Linked DNA regions of Xenopus tropicalis. The protein of the gene in region 1 purifies or fractionates together with the protein of each later gene. This does not show direct contact. Links are inferred from orthologs where the notes say so. Each region holds a gene or a part of one and is shown in the gene's direction. Other genes may lie near its edges. The genes, in order: wdr5, bod1, yaf2, grwd1, l3mbtl2, kdm6a and taf7.

Region 1 (3,937 bases):
CAGCTACCCCAATAGCCCCCATACCTTCCTTTATATCCTTTCTCAAACACCCCAGTTACCCCCATACCTTTATATATCCTCTCTCATATCCTCAGCTACCCCAATAGCCCCCATACCTTTATATCTCTCTCATACACCCACAGCTACCCCAATAGCCCCCATACCTTTCCTTTACATCCCCTCTCATACCCCCCAGCTACCCCAATAGCCCCCATACCTTTATATCTCCTCTCTCATACCCCTACAGATACCCCAATAGCCGCCATACCTTTATATAGCCTCTCTCATACCCCCACAGATACCCCAATAGCCCCCATACCTTTATATAGCCTCTCTCATACTCCCACAGATACCCCAATAGCCCCCATAACCTTTATATCTCCTCTCTCATACACCCACAGCTACCCCAATAGCCCCAATACCTTTCCTTTATATCCTCTCTCATACCCTCAGCTACCCCAATACCCCCCATACCTTTCCTTTATATCATCTCTCATACCCTCAGCTACCCCAATAGCCCCAATACCTTTCCTTTATATCCTCTCTCATACCCCCAGTTACCCCCATACCCCCCCATACCTTTATATATGCTCTCTCATACACCCACAGCTACCCCAATACCCCCCATACCTTTCCTTTACATCCTCTCTCATACCCTCAGCTACCCCAATAGCCCCCATACCTTTCCTTTATATTCTCTCTCATACCCCCAGCTACCCCAATAGCCCCCATACCATGATATATCCTCCCTCATACCCCCACGGATAGCCCCCATACCAATATAGATACTCTTTTATACCCCCACAGCCAGACCAATAGCCCCCATACCTTTATATATCCTCTTTTTTTAACCCCACAGCCACACCAATAGCCCCCCATACCATTATATCCCAAACAGCCACGCCCCCTCAGAAAGGTCTCCCTATTGGCCACAATGTTTCCCCAAAAAATCTACAGCCCCACTACTGCCTGTACTGTTACACAATGCTCACACGTGCACAATAGGAGAACCCCATACCACATATAAATACATTATTCTGGAAAGGCTTCTGGTACAAATAGTAGTAAATAAGTAATAAATATTGCTAATTATGTCCTTTTCTTTGTTTACAAACACCTAGCCTGCATAGTGGGAGTGGCCATCTGCTAACTCAAGGGGCCCCATTCCAGTTCTTGCACCATGGCAACAGAAGAAAAGAAACCCGAAACTGAAGCTTCCAAGACGCAATCCACCCCATCCTCGTCCAATAATCAGAGCAAGGTTGGTATTCTTCTACATGTGGAGCGGCCAAGATGCTTCCAGTAAGGCTTTGGGTGTTACTTTTGTGTGAAATCCAGCAGTTATGGATCATTAATCCTGCTTATAAAGGGTAATGTTAAAGGGGAAATATATCCGCCTCTGGCTTTTTAAATATACCCTTAATATAAAGGGCCTCTTATAGGTGGGTAGTGTAGTAGGGTTATAGGATCCAAAGGGTTACATATTCTTTTCCTACTTAAATATACATCTTAGAAAATTAACTTTTAGTAAGAGGTCCCAAGAATTGGCCATTCTGTAACATACTAAAAGTTAAAGGGGATGTCAACCCAAGATAAAATATTGACTAAAGAAAATGTATTTTCAAGCAACTTCCCAATATCCATTCATTCCCCATTCTCACTGGGTTTATAGTTATGTGTAACTGTCACTGTGTCTGTCCCTTTCCCTTCCCTGCACTGCTGGTTCTGACTCCTGATACAACTCCCCAATACCCATTCATTCCTCATTCTCACTGGGTTTATAGTTATGTGTAACTGTCACTGTGTCTGTCCCTTTCCCTTCCCTGCACTGCTGGTTCTGACTCCTGATACAACTCCCCAATATCCATTCATTCCTCATTCTCACTGGGTTTATAGTTATGTGTAACTGTCACTGTGTCTGTCCCTTTCCCTTCCCTGCACTGCTGGTTCTGACTCCTGATACAACTCCCCAATATCCATTCATCCCTCATTCTCACTGGGTTTATAGTTATGTGTAACTGTCACTGTGTCTGTCCCTTTCCCTTCTCTGCACTGCTGGTTCTGACTCCTGATACAACTCCCCAATATCCATTCATCCCTCATTCTCACTGGGTTTAATAGTTATGTGTAACTGTCACTGTGTCTGTCCCTTTCCCTTCTCTGCACTGCTGGTTCTGACTCCTGATACAACTCCCCAATATCCATTCATTCCTCATTCTCACTGGGTTTATAGTTATGTGTAACTGTCACTGTGTCTGTCCCTTTCCCTTCCCTGCACTGCTGGTTCTGACTCCTGATACAACTCCCCAATACCCATTCATCCCTCATTCTCACTGGGTTTATAGTTATGTGTAACTGTCACTGTGTCTGTCCCTTTCCCTTCCCTGCACTGCTGGTTCTGACTCCTGATACAACTCCCCAATATCCATTCATTCCTCATTCTCACTGGGGTTTATAGTTATGTGTAACTGTCACTGTGTCTGTCCCTTTCCCTTCCCTGCACTGCTGGTTCTGACTCCTGATACAACTCCCCAATATCCATTCATCCCTCATTCTCACTGGGTTTATAGTTATGTGTAACTGTCACTGTGTCTGTCCCTTTCCCTTCTCTGCACTGCTGGTTCTGACTCCTGATACAACTCCCCAATATCCATTCATTCCTCATTCATATACTGAAATATGGCAGTAGATCCTCACCCAGGGTTGGGAGTTTTATGAATTTAAGTTGAATTGTTTCTGGTTTCTCATGAATACGTTCGACTCAACCAACTTTTGGGTACTTTCCAATACGCGGCTCTGATGTTTGTAGAGAGATGAAATATAGGGGGTGGGTGCTGAATGTGACAAATTTCAGGTTTGTGCAGCGGTTACATACAACATGGCTGCCTGCCCTGGGGGCTCCCTGTCACTGTAGGGGGCTGTTTTTTATTTTAAAACTATTGTTTCCCCCAACTCTCTGCCTCAATGTCTGCAAAATACATTTCTGAAATCCCCATTTTTCTCTTCTATTCATAGCCTGCACCAGTAAAGCCAAATTACACGCTAAAGTTCACCCTCGCCGGACACACCAAGGCCGTATCATCTGTAAAATTCAGCCCGAACGGGGAGTGGCTCGCCAGTTCATGTAAGTGACATTCCACCTATCGTTATGTCTTTGCCCTAAAGAAACTACAGTGTCACTTTTTTGTTCTTTTCAGCGGCCGACAAGTTAATCAAAATATGGGGGGCGTACGACGGCAAGTTTGAAAAAACCATATCCGGCCACAAGTTGGTAAGAACCTTTTGTTGTTATTGCTCGCGTCTAGCCGGTGTTGAATTCCTGTAGCACCATATATTTAAATTCCACCAGCGTCTGCTTCGTGTAACATTAAACCCATACTGTTTTGCACCTTATCCCCCCAGCGCCGTGCAGCAGAAGCCAATTAGAGTTTGCATTTGCCAGACACCTCCCCAGGGGCCTCCCTAATTTATAGACGGGCTTGGGGATTTCATGTGTTTTAATTTGGCACTGGTTAAGAAATATAAACCCCCTTAATCAAATCCGATTAGTGAAACTTTTATTTATTTATTCTTTTTATTTTTATATTCAGGGAATATCTGATGTCGCCTGGTCCTCTGACTCCAACCTCCTGGTTTCTGCTTCTGACGATAAAACTCTAAAAATCTGGGACGTGAGCTCGGTGAGGCCTGATTGACTTACCGTTGGGAAGAATATGTTTTTGTGTTTCTTCATTGAGGGGTAAAATGATAACACAGGATACATTCCCTATTTCTCTTACATCATGGGGGACACAGGAACAGCCTAATTGCCTCGTTAATCCAGTGGGCAAACGTGGCCTTGGTAGTAGGCAGAGCCTCTCTAGAGGCTAGGCCTAACCTCCTGTCCACTTAAAAAGCTGAGCCCTGTTGGCTAAGCAAAAGGGTTAAAGAAAAGAGG
Region 2 (3,943 bases), on another chromosome or scaffold:
ACAAATAGGCTTAGTGCAATGGGCTTTTCCTGGGAAAGGGAATCGGGTTGGGATTGCACTTAATCTCTTTTCTGACCCCTCTGTCTGTAGAGTGGGGGTACAGTAGAGTGGGGGTACAGTAGAGTGGGGGTACAGTAGAGTGGGGGTACAGTAGAGTGGGGGTACAGTAGAGTGGGGGTACAGTATAATGTATCTTCTTTTTAGCGGTGCCTCTGGTCATGAATCTCTTTCCAAGTTGCAGAGTTTAAACAAGGGATGATGGGAGTTGTAGTTGGGGCACAGGTTGGAGGTATAAGATTCTTAAGTTACAACTTTTACTTCTGGCCCAAAACCATGTTTCGTATAATACACTGCAGAGCGCTGGGAGCTGTAGTTCAGCAGCTGGTGGCTCGTGCTTCTCTAACACTAACTGTAGCGCTTAGATTGATCTTGAGAGGATGCTGGGAAGTTTAGTCTAACTACACCTTTCCTGCATGCAGAGCAGCATAATCCCTTTCTGTAGGGCACAGGGGAAATTAAGGTTTTGGGGCATTAATTAGAACTATTTGTTGTGCAGGGGGTCATGTAATTATATTCCCAAATGTTAAACCAGATCTACTAACCCTGAGCAACCAACCAGACTTTTGCTTTTAAACATGTGATCGGCCAATCATACCTGCTGATTATCTGTTAGGCATACTAGCCCTAGCAACCAGGCAGTTGTGTGAATGACAGACTGGTAGATGAATAAGAAAAGGTCTGGAATGAAAAGATATTATTTATATATTTCACAATTTATATAGTAAATATACTATAATATGTATATATTGAAATATAGGCAATTGTCTCAAAATAATGTTTATATCATGCTAAAAGATAACAAACTTCCCAGCTGAACCCTCTAGCCAATTCCTGACCCATCTGCCTTCCCCACAGGTTTCCCTTTAGCCTCCGAAGTCGGACCGTCTCCCAGGCCTTATAACAATAAGGGCTGTTACCGGGGCTACTAGCCTAATGGCAGCGGCTGCATGAAGAGGAATGTCACTGAACCTGCCGCTTCTCCTCGATGGTGACAGTGTCCATGGTTGTGTGCCCTCCGGCTACTGCTGGTGCTGACAGGTGAGCTGCTTCTCTGCTACCTACAGGGTGATTCACTGGGGAATGCTGGGATACGGCAATGGGATCTGACCGAACTGTAACTCTTTATGGTGCTAGAGGCAGGTAAAATAATCTCTATATGCTGAATGCTTCTAGTTACAGCACTGGTAATGGCCCATATTGAATGTTGTGTGATCTGGGCTCCAGAGTTCCAATGGGATGTTAATGATATAGAGAGTACAGGGAAGAGCGACTAAGCTGATAAAGGGAATGGGCTCAGTTATGGGGAAAGGCTGGCCCAGCTGGGATTGGTTACACTGGGGAAGGGGCAGTTAAGGGGGGGTCACTATATATAAATATATAAGGGGGGGGCAGTAATGAAATAGAGAAAGTACAGGGAAGAGCGACTAAGCTGATAAAGGGAATGGGCTCAGTTATGGGGAAAGGCTGGCCCAGTTGGGATTGGTTACACTGGGGAAGGGGCAGTTAGGGGGGGGGGTCACTATATATAAATATATAAGGGGGGGCAGTAATGAAATAGAGAAAGTACAGGGAAGAGCGACTAAGCTGATAAAGGGAATGGGCTCAGTTATGGGGAAAGGCTGGCCCAGTTGGGATTGGTTACACTGGGGAAGGGGCAGTTAAGGGGGGGGGGTCACTATATATAAATATATAAGGGGGGGGCAGTAATGAAATAGAGAAAGTACAGGGAAGAGTGACTAAGCTGATAAAGGGAATGGGCTCAGTTATGGGGAAAGGCTGGCCCAGTTGGGATTGGTTACACTGGGGAAGGGGCAGTTAAGGGGGGGGGGTCACTATATATAAATATATAAGGGGGGGGCAGTAATGAAATAGAGAAAGTACAGGGAAGAGTGACTAAGCTGATAAAGGGAATGGGCTCAGTTATGGGGAAAGGCTGGCCCAGTTGGGATTGGTTACACTGGGGAAGGGGCAGTTAAGGGGGGGGGGTCACTATATATAAATATATAAGGGGGGGCAGTAATGAAATAGAGAAAGTACAGGGAAGAGCGACTAAGCTGATAAAGGGAATGGGCTCAGTTATGGGGAAAGGCTGGCCCAGTTGGGATTGGTTACACTGGGGAAGGGGCAGTTAAGGGGGGGAGGTCACTATATATAAATATATAAGGGGGGGCAGTAATGAAATAGAGAAAGTACAGGGAAGAGCGACTAAGCTGATAAAGTTGACTTGATACTGCATGATCCACAACCTGATGGTACAATTGTTCTGCTAATCTTATGGGTTTTACTATATAAACTAGTCTATAATACGTATTTTGATGCTTATAGATGTGAGTTAGTAGTAATTATAATAAGAAATAATAAATAAAAAGAGAGAGTAAGCAACATGGCAGCTTTGGATTTGGGAATTTGTTTGTTTGGCCCCAGCTGTGTTTGTCACACAAATGTTGGTTGCTGAGGCAGAAGACAAAGGGGCAGTTATACTAATGAGCAATTCCACCCCATGACTTTGTCCATAATTGCAGGACTAACCCACAATGTGTCGCTTGTGTCATTTGTTTGTATGGAGCTGTTCCTATGGAGTCACTGATGGTCTCACCGTGCTGCAGTGCTGTAAATAACAGAATGCAGAGACCATGTGAGACAGTGTGTTAAGAGATGGATGGTGGGAGACCACAGACCCCCTGATGTACCCCTCTCTTCATGGGCTTCTATGGGCACCTGGTATAATGAGATTTGGGGCAGTAAATAGGCCCCCCAGTATGATCTAATGATTGGCCCAAGGACTGAATAATTGGAAGTTCCCAGATACCCATAGGACATTGCAGTGCCAGGTAAGACTAAGAGTTAGGGTAAAAAAATTGATATGTTCAACCCTATTGGACAGAGGCCAGCTTAAAGGGGAAAGACAACCATTAACTGTTTTGCCTAGTGTCTGTAATGGTTATTTTTTTTTCTCTGCACTGCTGGTTCTGACTCCTGATACAGGATTTATAGTTATGTGTAACTGTCACTGTGTCTGTCCCTTTCCCTTCCCTGCACTGCTGGTTCTGACTCCTGATACAACTCCCCAATACCCATTCATTCCTCATTCTCACTGGGTTTATAGTTATGTGTAACTGTCACTGTGTCTGTCCCTTTCCCTTCCCTGCACTGCTGGTTCTGACTCCTGATACAACTCCCCAATATCCATTCATTCCTCATTCTCACTGGGTTAATAGTTATGTGTAACTGTCACTGTCCCTTTCCCTTCCCTGCACTGCTGGTTCTGACTCCTGATACAACTCCCCAATATCCATTCATTCCTCATTCTCACTGGGTTTATAGTTATGTGTAACTGTCACTGTGTCTGTCCCTTTCCCTTCCCTGCACTGCTGGTTCTGACTCCTGATACAACTCCCCAATATCCATTCATTCCTCATTCTCACTGGGTTTATAGTTATGTGTAACTGTCACTGTGTCTGTCCCTTTCCCTTCCCTGCACTGCTGGTTCTGACTCCTGATACAACTTCCCAATATCCATTCATCCCTCATTCTCACTGGGTTTATAGTTATGTGTAACTGTCACTGTGTCTGTCCCTTTCCCTTCCCTGCACTGCTGGTTCTGACTCCTGATACAACTCCCCAATATCCATTCATTCCTCATTCTCACTGGGTTTATAGTTATGTGTAACTGTCACTGTGTCTGTCCCTTTCCCTTCCCTGCACTGCTGGTTCTGACTCCTGATACAACTCCCCAATATCCATTCATTCCTCATTCTCACTGGGTTTATAGTTATGTGTAACTGTCACTGTGTCTGTCCCTTTCCCTTCCCTGCACTGCTGGTTCTGACTCCTGATACAACTTCCCAATATCCATTCATCCCTCATTCTCACTGGGTTTATA
Region 3 (2,634 bases), on another chromosome or scaffold:
TCACCTCCATTTAACCCATAATATTCTGTGAATATATTTAGTGCACACAATGAAATGTAGTAGTTTTCAATCCAGATAGAGCAACTAAAATCCAGTAGGATCATTGGATTGTCTGTTGAAAGTGATTCCTGATTATCCTCCTGTGTAAGAACTAAAGTAATTGTATTCTAAACAGTTTGTAATTTTTCTGCTACTAAAGGCCCCCATACATGGGCCGATATCGGTCCCTTGGACCGACTCGGCAGCTTATCTGCCCCTGTAGGGGCAGAAACGAGCGGACTGGCTGAACGATATCTGGCCTGAAATTGGCCAGATATCGATCGGCCAGGTTAAAAGATTCAGTCGGATCGGGGGTCCCTGAACCAAACGATCGGATTATTTATTTTTTTTTAACTTCTAGCTCCCCGATATCGCCCACCCGTAGGTGGGGATACCGGGGGAAGATCCGCTCGCTTGGCGATCTCGCCAAACGAGCGGATCTTACCGTGTATGGGGACCATTAAATGTGGCCCTATAGCCCAATTTCAGCTTGAATGGCTGGTTTCATGACAGCTAATATATATAAGCAGTTGTACGGCTTCTAAAGCAAACACACACAGTAAGATACATTATATTTAAAGGGGACTTACATCCTTGTTTTTAAATTTACATTGCTTAAAAATTTTGTACTGTTCACAGAGACAGCTCTTGGCATTTTGTCACAATTTTTTCCAGTTGCGTAAGTCGAAATTCCCATAAATCAGTAATTATGTGAGCAATGTGTAAGAGAGAGAATTAGTTTACAAATTTACAAAGACCACTTATGAAAATAGCTAGAATCTTGGTCATAAAACATGGAAAACCTGCTGTTTTTGAGAAAAGAAAGGAGGTTCTATTAATACACCTTTGTATGCAAGGACAAAATTACTTTCTCAAACAATGCCCTCTTATGTATTTTTTCCTTGTAACCATAGAAGATATTTCCATTTAAAGAAAGATTCGTCCAAATACCAAACTGATGTGTTTGTGACAAAAAGTCACTTGAATTTTGGGATTGGTTTGGCCTGACGCATGAATTTGGCCAAATCAGAATCCTGCTGAGAAAGACTGAATCCTGGATACGGTGCATCCCTAGTTTTAAACAAACTAGTGATGCAAACTCCACCCACAAAGCTAAATTATTGACTGGGGAACGCAGTCCTTTTCTTGAAAATGGCATTTTGGTATGAAATTAGTTCTGTGAGCCCCAAAATCATTAATTTATAGTTCATTCCCTTATATCATAGTGTCTCTTTCCTGCAGTTTCTGGTTGTATGACTGGGGTACACAGATAATCTGTACTTGCCAAGGAAAATGTATGGATAAAACAGGCAGCAGAAAAAACAGCAATGAGAGAGGTTTTAAAATTCAATTATGTGGCCATCTGAAACTGCAGAATCTAGGGTGCAATGTGTGCTTCAAGGAAGACAGAACAGACTACAAAATGAGCTGCTAGAAAATTATTTCCCCCAAAGAAAACAATGTAATTCAGTGATCAGACCTTAAACATACTTTTTAAATTGGTACAAATGCAGCTGTACCAATACAGGCCTTTTTTGTTTTAATATGCATTCAGTTGGTTATATGAATATGATGATTCATTTCTGTTTACAAATTTCTTAAAACACTGCTTTTCCCTTCCCTCTTCAATTCCCACTTGATCCTTTTGAGAAAGCAATTTTTTACTTTTTAATATACAGGTTTCCACATTTTAAGCATTGCCGTAAAAGTACAATTGCAAATTTTCATTTTTTCCTTATAGAAAACCTCGACCTGTTTCCCAGTTGGTTGCACAACAAGTAACCCAGCAGTTTGTGCCTCCCATGCAAACAAAGAAAGAGAAAAAAGATAAAATTGAGAAGGAAAAGAGTGAAAAGGAAACCATGATCAAGAAGAATAGCCATAAGAAGACAAGGTATTTTTTTTATAAATTAGCTTGTACACAGCAGAATTCTAAGATTATTTGCAATTGGCCTTTCTATATTTTTTTTTGTGATTTTTAAAATAGATACAAAAAGCTCCACCTTTAAACTGCTAACTGGTTGCAGCAAGTCAGCATTCAGGAAGATCAGTAAGAGAGGGCCAAAAAAGAATGACAAATATGAATAAAACAATTTAACCCTTGGTTGGCGGGGGTCAGTGACTGTGACAAGAAGCTAGCCTTTTCATTTTGAAACCATTTTCACAACAGTTTAAAATAAATAATGAAAACCAATTGTAAAGTTGCTTTGAGTAGGTTGCTCTGTAACCATACTGATGTATTTGATCTGTAATTCTCTTGCGCTGTCACTGCCTTTTTTATTTTTGCAGTGGTTAACACTAGGTATAGTGGAATGTCTCTTACAGCACTTACTCAATTGACTTATTGCCAGCAGATACATATATCTGCAGCTTTCTCACATTTCTAGACTACAGACAAATATTTAGTCAAGTCATTCAGTTTTTATTCAAGTAATTCAATATTTTCATTGCAGTGATTATTTTCTGTGTACTGTTCTTGGGAAGTCACTACTGCAATGTCAGTTGTTCATCATATAGTCAGCTTTGACATGAAACCATGGATGAATCTCAACATTATTGCTGTAATAAAGTAGCTCTCTAGAGCTATAACCACAA
Region 4 (3,956 bases), on another chromosome or scaffold:
CCCCATAGACAGTACCCCCATACACAGTGCCCCCCATAGACAGTACCCCCACAATAAAATTTTTACATTTTGCTCTCATAAGGAGCACTGGGGACCTCTCCACTCCCTTTGCTGATTTACAGATTATCACCCCACTCCCCCATAAGGCTATCCCAACTTGACTACTGTAACCTGCTGCTAACCAGCCTCCCTAACTCCCATCTTTCTCCCCTACAGTCTATATTAAACACCGCTGCCAGAATTCTCCTCCTCTCACCCAGGAGAGTTCAGGCCCTTCCCCTGCTAAAGGCCTTATTGTGGCTTCCTGTTAAACAAAGAATAGTTTACAAACTCCTTCTCTTAACCTTCAAAGCCCTCCATTCCTCTGCCCCTCACTACATCTCTTCCCTGGTGTCTCCGCACGTTCCTGGCCGACTCCTTCGTTCCTCGCAGAGCAACCGTTTGGTTGCGCCCCCAACTACTACAGCTGTTTTCCGCCTTAAACCTTTCTGCCCTGCTGCCCCTTACATTGGGAATGCCCTCCCTGATTTCCTCCGGAGAGAATCCTCCCTCAGTCTTTTTAAAACTAAACTTAAAGACTCCCTTTTGGAGCACTCACCCAGCACCTGATCTGGGAACTGGCACTTATATTGTAGTGTCACCCACTGTGACCTACAGCACTTATATTTGCCTATTTGTATCTGTAAGTTCCCCTCCCATATAGATTGTAAGCTCTACGGGGCAGGGACCTCCTTCATCTTGTGTTTCTGACTCTTATTGCAACTGCACCTTGTATTTATTTGTATTTATTGTTGTACTTTGTATTTATCCATTATCTTTAACCTCCTGTCTGTATTAATGAATAACCTACTGTACAGCGCTGGGTACATAAGTAGCGCTTTATAAATAAAGATATACATACATATACAAGAAGTATTGCTGCTGGTCTTTAATATATAACGGCCGCCTTAATTGCAAACCATTCTGCGTTTAGTTCTAACAATAGCAAGTAACTAATTAGCTAACGTCTGGAGTGTCTTGTTGCATTTTATTATTGGGTTTATGGGTAGATTTTTACATCTACATTCTGTAGAGACCGCTGCACATCGCCTCCATAGTAATGGCAAGGCGTCAGCGGAAGTAGGTTAGAACACATGGCAGACGAAGCCAGAGGAAGTGACGTCGCCCGATTCCAAGATGTCAGGCACTGGGGAAACCACATGGAGAAATCCCGCAGAGGATGAGGAGGAAGATGAAGGTATGGAAGAGTCGGGCAGCGAGGATGAAGATGACGAGGGTGATATTATGGAAGAAGAGGAGGACGATGAGAAGGACAAAGGGCCCAAGCGGGTCTATTTGCCCGGGATGGAGCCTCTTAAGGAGGGAGAAGAGCTGGTGATGGACCAGGAGGCGTATGTACTGTATCACCAGGCACAGACAGGTAACGCTCCCTTCTGCTCCCCGGTGTTGGGATCCCTTATAGGGGAGCGGTCGGGCAGGGAGGGGAGCGGCGGGAAGTTCAGCGCACAGTCCCGGGCTCTTTAAAGGGCAAGTTACCATGCAAGCTTACCAGCCTGGTCATTTTATAATGATATCTTTAATATATGTTTATAAGTATATAAATAATTCCAACGTGTTCCACAGCACTTTCCATAGGTTATATCTACAGTTATTAGGAATGACTTAACTTGCCGGTATGTGTTGGGGGAGGGGGGCACAGGGGGAACATGCAGATAATGCCCTGGCTGGAATCAAACCTGGGACCCCAGCAATGTCAACTACAAAACTATACTACACGGTTGTCTTGTAGTTTTTTGCTTCTTTGTATGAAAATTAAATGGTTTCTTTTTTTATTGTGTTATAGGTGCACCATGTTTAAGTTTTGATGTCATCCGTGATACCCTGGGGGAAAATCGCACAGATTACCCGCTGACTATGTACCTCTGCGCTGGTACTCAGGCCGACTCTGCTCAAGGCAACAGGTACTAGAAATAGATTATGTACAGGGGTACATAAGCATCATCTGATTTTCTAAGTCTCAAAAGTAGATGAAGAAAACCTCGTTTAACAAATTGATCAATTATATATGGTCGTGTATTTATTGGGGGAAAAAAAAGAATGCAATAACATATCTGCAGTAACATATAATATCAAACATTTGAAATGAACCCCATAAGGCTGCCCAGCTGGGGGCCCACTAGACTTCCAAGTGATTTTTATGGCTCCAGTTTGCCAAATGGCTTTTTGACATTGTCATTTTACTATAATCTGGCCTTTGACCAACACTTCTTTGGCCTGTAGTTCATGCAGTATCAGACTGACTGACTGTCAATATCTGACTGACACTTAGTAGGCAGCTGTTCATTTTAGCAGCTGTAAAGCAATTACTCAAGCCAAGGTCTGCAGAACAGAACTGATGTCTTCTGACTTTGGTCAAGTTGTCTTGTCTTTGTATCTTTTATTCACCAGAACTTACTGTCAGTTCTACAGTACCTGAGAATCCACCCAGCCTGTATAAGGAAGTGTAACTCTTTTTCCTCTCTTTCTTATAGGATGCTGGTAATGAAAATGTACAATTTGCACCGTACAAGCAAGGAAAAGAAAGATGATTCCGATTCTGAAAGCAGTGACAGTGGCGAAGAAGAGGACGAGGAAGAAAAGAAGCCTCAGTTAGAGCTCGCTATGGTGCCTCATTATGGTGGCATTAATAGAATTCGCGTAAGTCGGGTTGTGTTCTCATATTTGTTTTTGTCTTTATAACTTTGCCATGTTTAGGAAAAGATATACAGGTATGGGACCTGTTATCCAGAATGCTCAGGACCTGAGGTTTTCTGTAATTTGGATCTCAGTAAATCATTTAACCATTAAATAAACCCAATAGGGCTGTTCTGCCCCCAATAAGGGGTAATTATATCTTAGTTGGGATCAAGTACAGGTACTGTTTTATTATTACAGAGAAAAGGGAATCATTTAACCATGAAATAAACCCAATAGGGCTGTTCTGCCCCCAATAAGGGGTAATTATATCTTAGTTGGGATCAAGTACAGGTACTGTTTTATTATTACAGAGAAAAGGGAATCATTTAACCATTAAACCCAATAGGGCTGTTCTGCCCCCAATAAGGGGTAATTATATCTTAGTTGGGATCAAGTACAAGCTACTGTTTTATTACAGGGGAAAAAAGGAAATAATTTTTAAAAATGTAAATAATTTGCTTACAAGTCTATGGGAGATTGCCTTCCTGCAAATTGGAGCTTTTTGGATTACAGGTTTCCTGATAGCAGATCCTATACCTGTATACACTAAACTAGGAAGTGCTGCCCTATTGCGACCTCTGCTGTGGTATACAATACTGTTGTTAGTAGTTTTATTTGTAAATGTCAGACCTGGAATGCTCTGCAACATTAAAGGGAAACAAAATGTTAAAAAAGTGATAATCTAATATATATTTATATACGAGTAGATCCATATATGTGGTATACAAGCAAATGTGAGCTTTTAACTACTTCTGTTTGTTATATTATCATTGGTTTGTCTCTGCTTTTAGGTATCTACAATGGGGGAAGTACCCGTGGCTGCTGTCTGGTCAGAGAAAGGGCAAGTGGATATTTATGATCTAAGGAAGCAACTGTCGGCTGTGTCAGACTCTCAGGTGCTCGCTGCTTTTCTGAAGGAGGAACAAGCCAAAATCAAACCAGTGTTTTCTTTCTCCGGGCACATGACCGAAGGGTTTGCAATGGATTGGTCTCCAAAAACAGCAGGTACACCATATCAAAGTTATCCAAAGTTTAAGCCTCAAATTCCCATGAGTTGTTATTGATTATAAAGGCTTGGTAAAAATGCCTAATGGTACATGAGCTGCTTTTAAAGGTTAAACATCAATAGTTTGATTCACTTAGTCTTCTACTTCCCTTTCACTACCTCTTTAGGGCGCTTGGTTACTGGTGACTGCAATAAGAACATCCATCTGTGGGAT
Region 5 (3,500 bases), on another chromosome or scaffold:
CAAATTTTTTATATGATATATGTTCTTGCATGTACCTAAAACTGCAATGCTTATTCCTTTAGGTTACAAGGCTTTACTTCAGTATGAAGGTTTTGAAGAAGACTCGAGCCATAACTACTGGTGCAACTTGGGAACAGTGGAAATTCATCCCATTGGATGGTGTGCAGTAAACAGCAAAATATTGGTTCCACCCCAGTGTATGAAATATTTCACAGAATAAAAAAAAGTTTTGTGTGTGTTAGTATGGGTGTTTTCTAAAGACAGCTGTACTTCCAGTCATGTCTATGGAGAGAACTGAAAGGGTGAGGCAACAGATGTATATGAGGCTTCCTGAGCGGAGTTGTTAATCCTGAAATGTGTGCTTTTACCATGGTTCTTTTCGGTGAGGGCAGTGAGATTGTGGAATGCCCTGCGGATGATGCTGTGATGGCAGACTCTGGTAATGCCTTAGTGCCTAATAAGATTATCAGTACCCGTATATAAATGATCTGTATCTTCTAAAATACATTTTCACTATATGATATTACTGGTTCTTTATGCTGGTGGGCTTGGGGGTTTGGGTCTGTTATTGGTAATCATGGTCTCAACTTATTGTGGCCTTGGGCAAAACCTCTGTGCCCAGGATATCAAACTCATATTAGGCTATGTGGATACGTAACGGGGTTGTTTGTCTTTAAAATAATGTTTTGCATGATGTAGAGAGTGCTATTCTGTGATAATTGTTTTATTATTTGTGTTTGTTTAGTTATTTAGCTTTATATTCAGCTGGTTGCTGTGGTCTAAATTAACCTTACAGCCAGGCATTGATTTTAATGAGAGGCTGGAATTTGAATAGGAGATGGCCTTAATATAACGATAAGTACTTAATTGTAGCATTTTTTGCTGGGGTCGGTGACTCCCCCCCAATTGAAATCTGGTGAGAGTCAGAAGAAGAAAGCAAATAATTCAGAAACTATCTATAAAAAAAGAAAAAGTCCAATCAAAAAGTTATTTGAAAGTCAACCAGCCCCTTAATTAGTATCTTGTACAAAAGAAAATACCTATAACACATGGTATAGAAAGCAAAAAAGAGAACTTCAAATTACCCAGAAACTGAAGATGATTTTCACATGTTTTCTTACCTTGCAGCCATCCTTTCAAAGTTTACAGACTGGAGAGAATACCTTATGAAGAAATTGGTCGGCTCCCATACCATACCTGCGGATTTCCATGTCAAGGTTATCTAAACAGATGCAGAAATGTGTATTTGTCCCTTGTTTACATATATAGACTTGTGAAGAAGGAACAGAGGCATGTGTTTCTAAGATCCTTGGATAGCAAGTGGGACCAATAGGGTTGGACCACTAGGAGGGAGGTGTTTGGGGGCACCTTGATGATATAATGGTAAAGTCTGTAATTGCCCATTTACATTATGAATAATAATATAGATAAGAATGAGTCCATCTTGCCCCCGGATTAGGGATTGTATATTTCTCTGGGTCCTGGGAAGCTTTTACTGCTTTTCTTTCATTCTTTAGTCTCCGCCTTCTGTCTTTGGTATTAATTACTAATTCAGGAAAAATTATGTTCAGATGGCAGAGAGCTTCAGATGCCCATTCAGACAGGGCATGCGGTTGGAGGCTGTAGACAAGATGAAGATGTCACGAATGAGATCGGCAGTGGTGGATACAGTAATTGGAGGTCGAATGAGGCTTTTGTATGAGGATGGAGAAAAAAATGATGATTTCTGGTGCCACATGACCAGCCCTTTGATCCATCCTGTAGGATGGGCTCGTAAGGTTGGCCATAATATCAAACCTCCAGGTAATTTTTTTCTGTATATAGTTCCTAAATGTTGTATAGAAATATATCTATTGCATCCTTCCCAGCTAAGGTTTTTTGGTTCTTGGTTAATACAATACAGGCTTCTGTCCAGTCACTTTTTGAATTGTGTTGTGGAAGGGCAGAGGACTTAGATTTTGTAACTCACTATTGTATATCTTTCTTTAAGACCTGAAGCGATTTGAAATGTCCAGTCATCCCACTTTCCGCAAGGTATACTGTGATGCAGTGCCTCACCTCTTCAAACAAGTAAGAGTAACAGCCAATGAACAATAAGGGTAACCTTGTAGAGAAGGTGGTAGAATGCCAAGACATTTAATTTCCCAACATATAGGGGCAGATTTACTAATCCACGAACAGACCAAAAGCGTCCGAACGCGTTTTTTCGTAATGATCGGTATTTTCGCGACTTTTTAGTCGCCGTCGCGACTTTTTTGTATATTTTCCGCGACTTTTTCGTCGCCGTCACGAAAAAAATCGGATTGGGTTTTCCGGCGTTTAATATCGCGCAATACAAAAAAATCGAGACGGCGACGAAATAATCGCACAAAATACGATAAAGTCGCGACGGTGCCGAAAAAGTCGCGACAGATACGAAAAATCGCGAGGGCGACGAAAAAGTCGCAAAAAGTTTCCAATACAATTTTTTCCCTTTCGGGATTCGGATTCGTGGACTAGTAAATCTGCCCCATAGTATTTCTTTTTTTCCCTGCAGTCACCGCTTTATTAACCAAATGTATGGCTTGTATTGTGCATTATGTTTTTCTCAGTAGGGCCAGGTTAAGAGCTACAGGTGCCCAAGGTTCAGACGCTCCCATGTCTGCCCAACCTACTTGCCAACTGCTTGCATTCTCAGTGCTGCAGGCAGCAGATGCATGATACTAGGAGCCCCTTAGTTGCACCCTAGACACCTGCTTCTTCTGCCTCTGGCCCTGTTTCACAGCTACAATGTTAGTGGCAACAGAAATTCAACTTAAAAATTGAAGTTGTGTCTTGATCATCAATTGCTTAGACCGTTACTTCCAGCAGAAACTAAATTAACTTTAAATTAACTTCATTTTAATTTAATTTTTTTATTTTTTATTTTATTAATTTGTGTTTTTTCAGAATAGTACATTCTATGAAATAGTGAACCACCCCTTTAAAAAACTTTAATGTGGATGTTCAGTTTTCAAACAAAAATGAGGGGTACAAAAGGGTAGGGATGACCATCAGACAAATTTTGCCCATCAGACAAACCCAGTGACAAGTCAAGACAGCGAGTTAATTATTGTTAAGAATCTGGAAACCTATTGTGAAGGGGTTTTTTTTTTTTGTCTAGGCAGTAGTCTAGCATAGCATTCCTAAGCTTGTATGAGGGCTTTAGATTTTAAAAAAAGAGAGCCATGGCTCCCATATTTTCTAATATATGCTGCTTCTGTTATGTATAATGTGTGTAATCCTTTCTAGTTTTCTCATCTCTTCCACTAGGTGGCCATTCCATATACTTTTAATAGCATTTTCACATTATCTCCCACTACAACTGCTCTTTGCTGGTCCAGAAGTTGGCACATCCCGTTTAATTTCCCCCACCACTGAATGGTTTGGGAGCTTCCATTTGGATTAATTTTTATATATATTTTTTTTATGATTTGATGGTATGATTCAGCCAATTGGATCAATAGCAAGCAAATTAAAGG
Region 6 (3,500 bases), on another chromosome or scaffold:
CCTGCCAAGAGGAAAAGAACATCTAGTCCAGCAAAGGTATTTCACATGCCAAAAATGTATGTGGCCCATGCTGTTATTTATTTATTTTTTTTAAACCATCCACTTCATTTAAGTTAATTACATGTAAAATGAAGGAAAGTTCGCTCAAATAATTTTTCATATGAATGTGCTTAAGTATTGCACCAAATATTTGAAGAACATAGATTGTTTTGCCTGTAACATATTGCAGTTGGAATACAGTTTAAAAGTGTTCTATTATCAAGAGTTCTCAATAATTTCTTTTTTCAATAGAATACTTCTGATACCTGGAGCAGTGGCCATTTGGCGTCACATACTCCAGGACAGCAACAAGTACATTCGTGGTGTTTGCCGCCACACAAAGTACAGGTATGAATAGTCCTATGCTGTTTCTGTCTCTCTCTTGGTTGTTTTAGTTTTGAATTAAGCACTGAAAGTAATGCAATATCCAAACAACTGTTTGTTTTTTGGGGGAGGTTAAGATATTTTATTGGCTTTGATGAAAATCAAACAATCTTCATTAGCATCATCTTCTGACCTACATTTGGGTTTACATAACAAGAAACTAGAGAAGGCATTGGTTGAAAGTGACACTCCCAAAACCAAAGTTTCTATATTATGCCAGGTAACCTTTGCCCTAACCTTTGCCCTACAATAAGCACTTTTCTGCTCCTATATTGTCATGGTAAGATCCTTGTAAATATTTGCAATTTTAAAGTGGAAATGTGGGCATATTTTAATGTAATTATAAAATGTCAACATATTATTCAGTGCTGTAAAATAAAATGGTGTATATATTGAACATACTGGTCACACACTGATAAGCAATACAAGGGGTTAAGGCTAATTGTACACAGGTTTTTTTCTTTGCTGGTGTGTAGATATGTGTTGGCACAAAAGTGCATTTTGTTTTTTTTTTGTTTTTTTGCATTACTGTGCTAAAATCCATTCTAAATAAGTGCTCAAGCATGGGGTGAGCATGGGGTATTGACAGTGCACTTAAAAGCATGTAGTGTATACTGAAGCTATATTAGGCTAGATGAGGTACATTTCCAGCTTTGGTTAAAGTTTTTGGGGGATATAAACTGCAAGACCATCTGAGCATGAATGTCGGCTTAAGGGTCAACTTTTATAGACAATCCTGTGGTCCTGTGGCTTACAGATGACCAGTCCGTGTTTTGTTGCAGTCAGATGAGGAAGTGAAGACGAGCCAAAATATGTAGTAAATGTATTTTCTATTGTAAAATATAAGGATGTTATAAGTCAGAAGTTCCCCCTAATTTCTTGGCTGTGTGGACAAAAAATGTATGCACACAGAAATGGGTGGGTTAGAGCTAGAACTAAATATTTTTAAGCAAAAAAATCTATGGGTGCATCACTATTTGCTGTCAGGGTCGCTGCATTCTAGCAACCAAAAAGTAATGTGTATGAGATTACAATTTCATTAATTTATTTAAATCCCTATCATATTTCTGTCTTATTGGTAGGGTAATTCAGCTAATAGCAACCGAATAGCAGTTTACATTTAAAGCCTGAAAACACAAACACATTTTTTATTAAAATTCTAAAAAAATAATGCTTAAAACCAATGTTTACTACCCTGTGTATCTAAACTTATCTTCACACCAGTTGATCTTTTAGACCTCAGGATGTTTGAAAATAGTTTTTATGGAATACTTATAGTAAACATATTACAATATAGTATTGATTTAAAGATTAGCATTTCACGTGCAGATTTTGTGTCTTACACCATGTAAAATTAACTTATCTGATTTTAGCAATTGGAACAGCTACGAGCAAACAGGAATAATCTGAATCCAGCACAAAAAGCGGCGTTGGAGCAGTTGGAGGCTCAGTTTGTCTTAATGCAGCAGCAACAGCAGGTAGATGCTTCTGTACTCAAATAATGCAGATCTGCAGATTTCTACTGCAGCTGTATTTTCCAAAGTTTTTGCATTCAACACCTTGGTCCCTCTGAGGCCCAGCATTTAGTTAGTGCCTGCTTGACTCCTCTCAAAGTTAGATATTTGAAAATATAAGTGGTTTTGTCATACTGCTATAGTGCTGTCAGTATCTATTTAAAGGGTTTACTCGATATTCCACCCTGTCAGGCCTTTAGGATCTAGGTCTAATTTTAGTCTGGATTTTGGCAAAAATTTTGGCACCCTAAATGACCAGCCCCACAGTTTGCAAATCTATAATGGAGGTCTATACAGTTTTTTGTAATTACAATGCCATGTATAATTGCATAAAATATATTTTTAGGATTTGACAGAATAGTATTTTCCTTTGCCTTATCTAATCCTTAACTTATTCCATTATTCTTAAGTATTTCAACCATACGAAACTGGCATTTAAGCCATTAGATTTATTTACCACAGTTATCACTAAAAGGATTACAAATGTGTTGCACTCATACAGCACTTTATTTCAGTAGTGACTTTTAGGTTTACTTACTGATTAGAGGAATTTATTTCCATTTGCCTAAATGATCATCATCATATTTTTTTATATTTTTTTCTAACAGATGAGACAAACTGGACTTTCACAGGTACGTTCTACTGGAATTGCTAACGGGCCAACTGCTGACTCAACACTGCCTACAAACTCACTCACTGGTCAGCAACATCAGGTTGCATTAACCAGGATGCCTAATGCCGCTCAGCCTGGAATCCGTCCGGCTTGCCCTGCGCAGCCTGTGGCTAATGGACCATTTCCAGTAGGCCAAGTTTCCTGCAGTACCACAGGGCCAGTGGGCAGTGCAGACACTATGTTGATAGGCAATAATCATATTACGGGAAATGGAAGTAATGGAAATGTGCCTTACCCGCAGCGAAACGCACTCGCACTACCTCATAACCGCACAAACCTGACCAGCAGCGCAGAGGAGCCGTGGAAAAACCAACTAACTAACTCCACTCAGGTAAGAGATCTTGAGCTTTCTGTACCTTGCAAGGAAATAAGCTTTCAGAATATTTCTAATGTAGTGCTTCAGTGGTATATTATTAAGCAGATGTAAAGTTCTGCCCATTATGTTAGACATCTGCTCACGCTAGCCTTTATAGATTGCGTCTTTGCCTAACTATATTACAAATATTTTTTATTTTGCATAGTCTATCCATTTTATCCAGTTTAATTTTTACACTGAACTGTTCCTTTAACTTTTGCTTTTCAGTCTACAGACAATAAATTATTATGAGAGAATTGTGTGTTCTATATAATCATTTCCTCACTGCATATTTGTTGGTGCGCAAGATTTTTTTTTGTTTGAGATTATGGAAAAATATTTCTAATACTTATACACGTGTGTAATTAACACTGTTCAGACAATACTAAAGATATGGAGGGCAAACCAGTTATGTGCTTAAAATTAGGTAATACTATTAAGGTCTAGCTGCACAGGTAATCTGTATTTCCTTAGACCCCAGTGGGGAAAACAGTACAAAACTTTATATTATAGATAAACCAATGTGCCCTGAATC
Region 7 (3,444 bases), about 30 Mb from region 1:
ATTAGCTTTTTTAAATTATTCTTATTCCCTCCATCTTAAGCTCTAACTTGTCTTTCCCAACATGTCTCTCTCTTTCCAGCAGTGGAGAGGGAAGAATTGCGTCAGATCTTTAATGACATCAGTAGTAGCAGTGATGGAGAAGAAGAGGAGGGAGAACGCCAGGAAGAAGAAGATCTTAATATCATGGAGACTGAGGAGGAGCAGAGGGCAGGACAGGATGGTCAAAAGGGAGGCACTAACCAGATTGGTGAGAGTATAGCGGAGCACAAGTTTTTTTTTTTTTTGTTTTTTTTATAGTGAAAGTAATATTTTAGCCAGAGAAGAATGCAGAACTTATGGGGAAGTTGATCTTAATGATATCCCATTTCCCTATGTATCAGTTCTGGAGATGCAGAAACAGCTGGAAAATTTACAAAAGAAACTGCGAGAGACACAGGAAAGAAGAAAAAGACAAGAAGAGCTTATAATGAAGGTTGAAAATGTAGCACTGAAGGTAACACATGATTGCAGCACTGTTGCCTTGTGTGAGAGAGAAAATGTATATAAGTGGATTCAGTAAATGCTTAACTATGGTCATTTTATGTTTAGCAATATGTGTGTGTGACATTTATGTAGGCATGCAAGATAGGGTAGGATGGACAGGATAGGGCTCCTGTTTATGTAAGAAGTGTCTAAGAGCAATTTTTTCCAGGCATATGAGAACCTGGGCATTCACTCCTTGCAAGAGAAATGGTTGAGCACAATGTTCAAATACACATGAAGTAGAAGGGCCGGGCACACTCCTTGTGCAAGACTACTAATGCATACCAGAAACTGGAAGTTACAGGCAAACAAAGATTGTAGGGTATACAGTATGGATGTAAACAATGGCCATGGGGGTCTAGGGGTCTGGGCACACTCCCTCTGTGTGAAAGATGGTGAATGTAGTTACTCTTTCTGTTTTTGGTTGATTATTATAGATGGGTTGATACAAGTTTGATGATTGTATCTGGCCATGCAGCTATTTCACACAAACTTTCTTTCTTTATTTTAGACTCGCTTACAAGCTGTGTTGGATGAGTTTAGGCAGCAGGAGGAAAGAGAAAAGCAACAGGTATGTATTATGGCTTTATAGTCTGTGACCCATTGCTTAGATTTATCTTATTTAAGGGACAAAATGAATGCTGTGACATAGTTCCAAGTTTTTTCCATTGTTTTGTGTTTTGCAGTATGGCTGTATATTGGCGACATTGTTATTTGCTAACTGTGTGCAGGGAGACTGAGAATTATTGCTTATCAAGTGCAGTAATTCTCAGTGTGTATCCCCAAAAGCAGACAAAAATGCATACAGTCACGCTACTGACAGAAAATAGAAGATGACAGACTGTGCATCTTGAGACTGTTTGAGGCTGTTTGTTTTTTCCTAGTTGACTTAGGGCCCCCAGTGAATTTGTATGGGCCAGCATCTCTACACAGTTGTCCAGTATCCAGCTGATGTCAGAAGAATCAAAAGCTGGCCCATGCTTTTAAAACTTTACTGGAGTAGATAGAAGAAAAGGATAGTGTAGAACAGTCTCTCCTTTCACACAAGCATTATTATTCTGTCATTGCCTTGCTAAATCCCATAGTTTGATATAGCTATTCTTTTGTGCATGCCCGTTTTTCTGTAGCCAGAGGCATTATAAATGTACCATTTATATGGTTTATTTTTGTAAATATATTATAATGTTAATATGGTAATGGGAGGTGATAAAGTGTACCAAATGTAGCAGTACCTATTTTACACCAGTCCTTGTGATAATCTCTTCTCTTTCCTAGCTGACATCCCTGCAGGAGCAGCTCGAGACTCTAATAGAGAAATAAAGAGGTTCCGATGTGGTTTCCTTGATATTTATGACTTGGCCTCCCTGCTGTAGATGTACTGCTTTTTACCACATCCTCCAGAATGTTCACTTTCAGAGGAAATCCTTCCATTTAGGAAACAATGAGGACTGGGTCTCCCTTAATTTTGTTTGTGCTGAAAATTATACATCCAAACAGATATTTTACTTTAGGCCATTCGAACGTGACTGCTTGAGGATGTTTAGATCCTGTAATGGTTTGTGCTGTGACTAAATGCCTGCTGTACAATACAGAAAGTCCAAATAAGCAAAAGAACCTTACATGTATGATTTTTTTTCGTTTTTACTGGAATGTTCAAGGTGCAAGGATTATAACCCCAGTATTCATAATTTAACCTATTTGCCTGCTGTTTGTTTCCAGTCCAACAGTGCGTTACACTATGGGGCACATTTACTAATCCACGAACGTCCGAATGCGTTTCGTCGCCGTCGCGACTTTTTCGCGAATTGTCGCGACTTTTTCGTCACCGTCGTGAAAAAATCGGATTGGTTTTTCCGCTGTTTACAATTGCTCAATAAGAAAAATTGCAACGGCGACGAAAAAGTAGCACAAAATACGATAAAGTCGTGACGGCGACGAAAAAATCGTGCAAAATACGAAAAAAACGCGACGGCGACGAAAAAGGTGCAAAATTTTCATTTACAATCCGATTTTTTCCCATTCAGGATTCGGATTCGTGGATTAGTAAATGCGCCCCTATGAGTATACAAGTATACAAGTATCCGTTTTGCTGGGATTTTTCTGGAGAAAACATTAGAATTTTGCCTTTGTTATCTAACAGCTGTTTTCTTTAATATGGAAGATTTTGATGCCTACAAACAACTATGGTCAGATTGTGAACCCAAATGTTTGAGTTAGAGCCCATTGTGAACTAAGCACATTTACGAATGGCTTGTTCGTAACATTAGTGTTAAGGCAGTGTCACTTTGCTTTTTTTTTTTAAAAAAAAAAAAAAAGAATATTGGCAGCTACAGATGAACTGTAAATGATTATTTTACACTTTGTCATGTCTGTTTTTCTCCACCTATTATTCCATCCAAATAAAAGTCTTTGTTACCCATAATTTTGTGATTAGCTTCTTTGTGGTGAAACCCATTTTTACATCAGGCAGCTTGCTACTGGGAAGACGGACAATTTTCAAGGATACAATGTGCGAAGAAACATACTTGTAATACTTCCTAATTCCTTAAATAACGATTAATCACAACCCCCACACCTTCATTTTCATGATTATTTGTTCAAACCAAAAAATTCTAACTCCAGTGCCAATGGAATTCATGTACAATAATGTGACTGGATTAGCACTGTTTTCTTCCATTTTTTTTTATTATAGTTTCTTTAGGAACCTCCCCTATGTTCTTTAGGAACCTCCCCTATGTGAAGCAAGTGTCTTTTAGGGTACATAAAGAGCCCCTGTAAAGTTCAGCTATGCTCCTGATATCGTATATGAAGCTTTAACACCAGGTTTGAGCATTGTATGTGTGGTGAGCAACAAGAGCACAGTTTTGCTATCCAGATGTTTGCTTAGATAAGATCCTTCCATTAATGGCTATGCACTGAGTG

Evidence for each region.
Region 2: the proteins of wdr5 (region 1) and bod1 purify together in Homo sapiens (affinity purification with mass spectrometry; 3 studies listed by BioGRID and IntAct, counting the BioPlex papers as one, with this or other methods). This does not show direct contact. The link is inferred for Xenopus tropicalis from reciprocal best matches to the Homo sapiens genes WDR5 and BOD1.
Region 3: the proteins of wdr5 (region 1) and yaf2 purify together in Homo sapiens (affinity purification with mass spectrometry; 4 studies listed by BioGRID and IntAct, counting the BioPlex papers as one, with this or other methods). This does not show direct contact. The link is inferred for Xenopus tropicalis from reciprocal best matches to the Homo sapiens genes WDR5 and YAF2.
Region 4: the proteins of wdr5 (region 1) and grwd1 purify together in Homo sapiens (affinity purification with western blotting; 3 studies listed by BioGRID and IntAct, with this or other methods). This does not show direct contact. The link is inferred for Xenopus tropicalis from reciprocal best matches to the Homo sapiens genes WDR5 and GRWD1.
Region 5: the proteins of wdr5 (region 1) and l3mbtl2 purify together in Homo sapiens (affinity purification with mass spectrometry; 4 studies listed by BioGRID and IntAct, counting the BioPlex papers as one, with this or other methods). This does not show direct contact. The link is inferred for Xenopus tropicalis from reciprocal best matches to the Homo sapiens genes WDR5 and L3MBTL2.
Region 6: the proteins of wdr5 (region 1) and kdm6a purify together in Homo sapiens (affinity purification with mass spectrometry; 7 studies listed by BioGRID and IntAct, counting the BioPlex papers as one, with this or other methods). This does not show direct contact. The link is inferred for Xenopus tropicalis from reciprocal best matches to the Homo sapiens genes WDR5 and KDM6A.
Region 7: the proteins of wdr5 (region 1) and taf7 purify together in Homo sapiens (affinity purification with western blotting; 3 studies listed by BioGRID and IntAct, with this or other methods). This does not show direct contact. The link is inferred for Xenopus tropicalis from reciprocal best matches to the Homo sapiens genes WDR5 and TAF7.

The regions. Positions count from the first base shown.
Region 1 is NC_030684.2:8,199,565-8,203,501, reverse strand, and holds the start of wdr5 (WD repeat-containing protein 5), read left to right. Parts: upstream 1-1,137; 5' UTR 1,138-1,180; coding exon 1,181-1,261; intron 1,262-3,015; coding exon 3,016-3,124; intron 3,125-3,197; coding exon 3,198-3,271; intron 3,272-3,590; coding exon 3,591-3,680; intron 3,681-3,937.
Region 2 is NC_030680.2:152,363,076-152,367,018, forward strand, and holds the start of bod1 (biorientation of chromosomes in cell division protein 1), read left to right. Parts: upstream 1-1,143; 5' UTR 1,144-1,200; intron 1,201-2,800; exon of another isoform or gene 2,801-2,891; intron 2,892-3,943. UniProt on the Homo sapiens protein: Required for proper chromosome biorientation through the detection or correction of syntelic attachments in mitotic spindles.
Region 3 is NC_030679.2:64,866,636-64,869,269, forward strand, and holds part of yaf2 (YY1-associated factor 2), read left to right. Parts: intron 1-1,780; coding exon 1,781-1,933; intron 1,934-2,634. UniProt on the Homo sapiens protein: Binds to MYC and inhibits MYC-mediated transactivation. Also binds to MYCN and enhances MYCN-dependent transcriptional activation. Increases calpain 2-mediated proteolysis of YY1 in vitro.
Region 4 is NC_030683.2:114,831,831-114,835,786, reverse strand, and holds the start of grwd1 (glutamate-rich WD repeat-containing protein 1), read left to right. Parts: upstream 1-1,156; 5' UTR 1,157-1,176; coding exon 1,177-1,420; intron 1,421-1,843; coding exon 1,844-1,961; intron 1,962-2,531; coding exon 2,532-2,697; intron 2,698-3,527; coding exon 3,528-3,741; intron 3,742-3,909; coding exon 3,910-3,956. UniProt on the Homo sapiens protein: Histone binding-protein that regulates chromatin dynamics and minichromosome maintenance (MCM) loading at replication origins, possibly by promoting chromatin openness.
Region 5 is NC_030680.2:116,007,820-116,011,319, reverse strand, and holds part of l3mbtl2 (lethal(3)malignant brain tumor-like protein 2), read left to right. Parts: intron 1-62; coding exon 63-197; intron 198-1,128; coding exon 1,129-1,217; intron 1,218-1,571; coding exon 1,572-1,803; intron 1,804-1,990; coding exon 1,991-2,070; intron 2,071-3,500. UniProt on the Homo sapiens protein: Putative Polycomb group (PcG) protein. PcG proteins maintain the transcriptionally repressive state of genes, probably via a modification of chromatin, rendering it heritably changed in its expressibility.
Region 6 is NC_030678.2:55,786,555-55,790,054, reverse strand, and holds part of kdm6a (lysine-specific demethylase 6A), read left to right. Parts: coding exon of another isoform or gene 1-36; intron 37-291; coding exon 292-387; intron 388-1,796; coding exon 1,797-1,901; intron 1,902-2,545; coding exon 2,546-2,941; intron 2,942-3,500. UniProt on the Homo sapiens protein: Histone demethylase that specifically demethylates 'Lys-27' of histone H3, thereby playing a central role in histone code. Demethylates trimethylated and dimethylated but not monomethylated H3 'Lys-27'.
Region 7 is NC_030684.2:37,700,089-37,703,532, forward strand, and holds the end of taf7 (transcription initiation factor TFIID subunit 7-like), read left to right. Parts: intron 1-79; coding exon 80-247; intron 248-380; coding exon 381-493; intron 494-1,033; coding exon 1,034-1,093; intron 1,094-1,797; coding exon 1,798-1,842; 3' UTR 1,843-2,290; exon of another isoform or gene 2,291-2,488; 3' UTR 2,489-2,944; downstream 2,945-3,444. UniProt on the Homo sapiens protein: The TFIID basal transcription factor complex plays a major role in the initiation of RNA polymerase II (Pol II)-dependent transcription.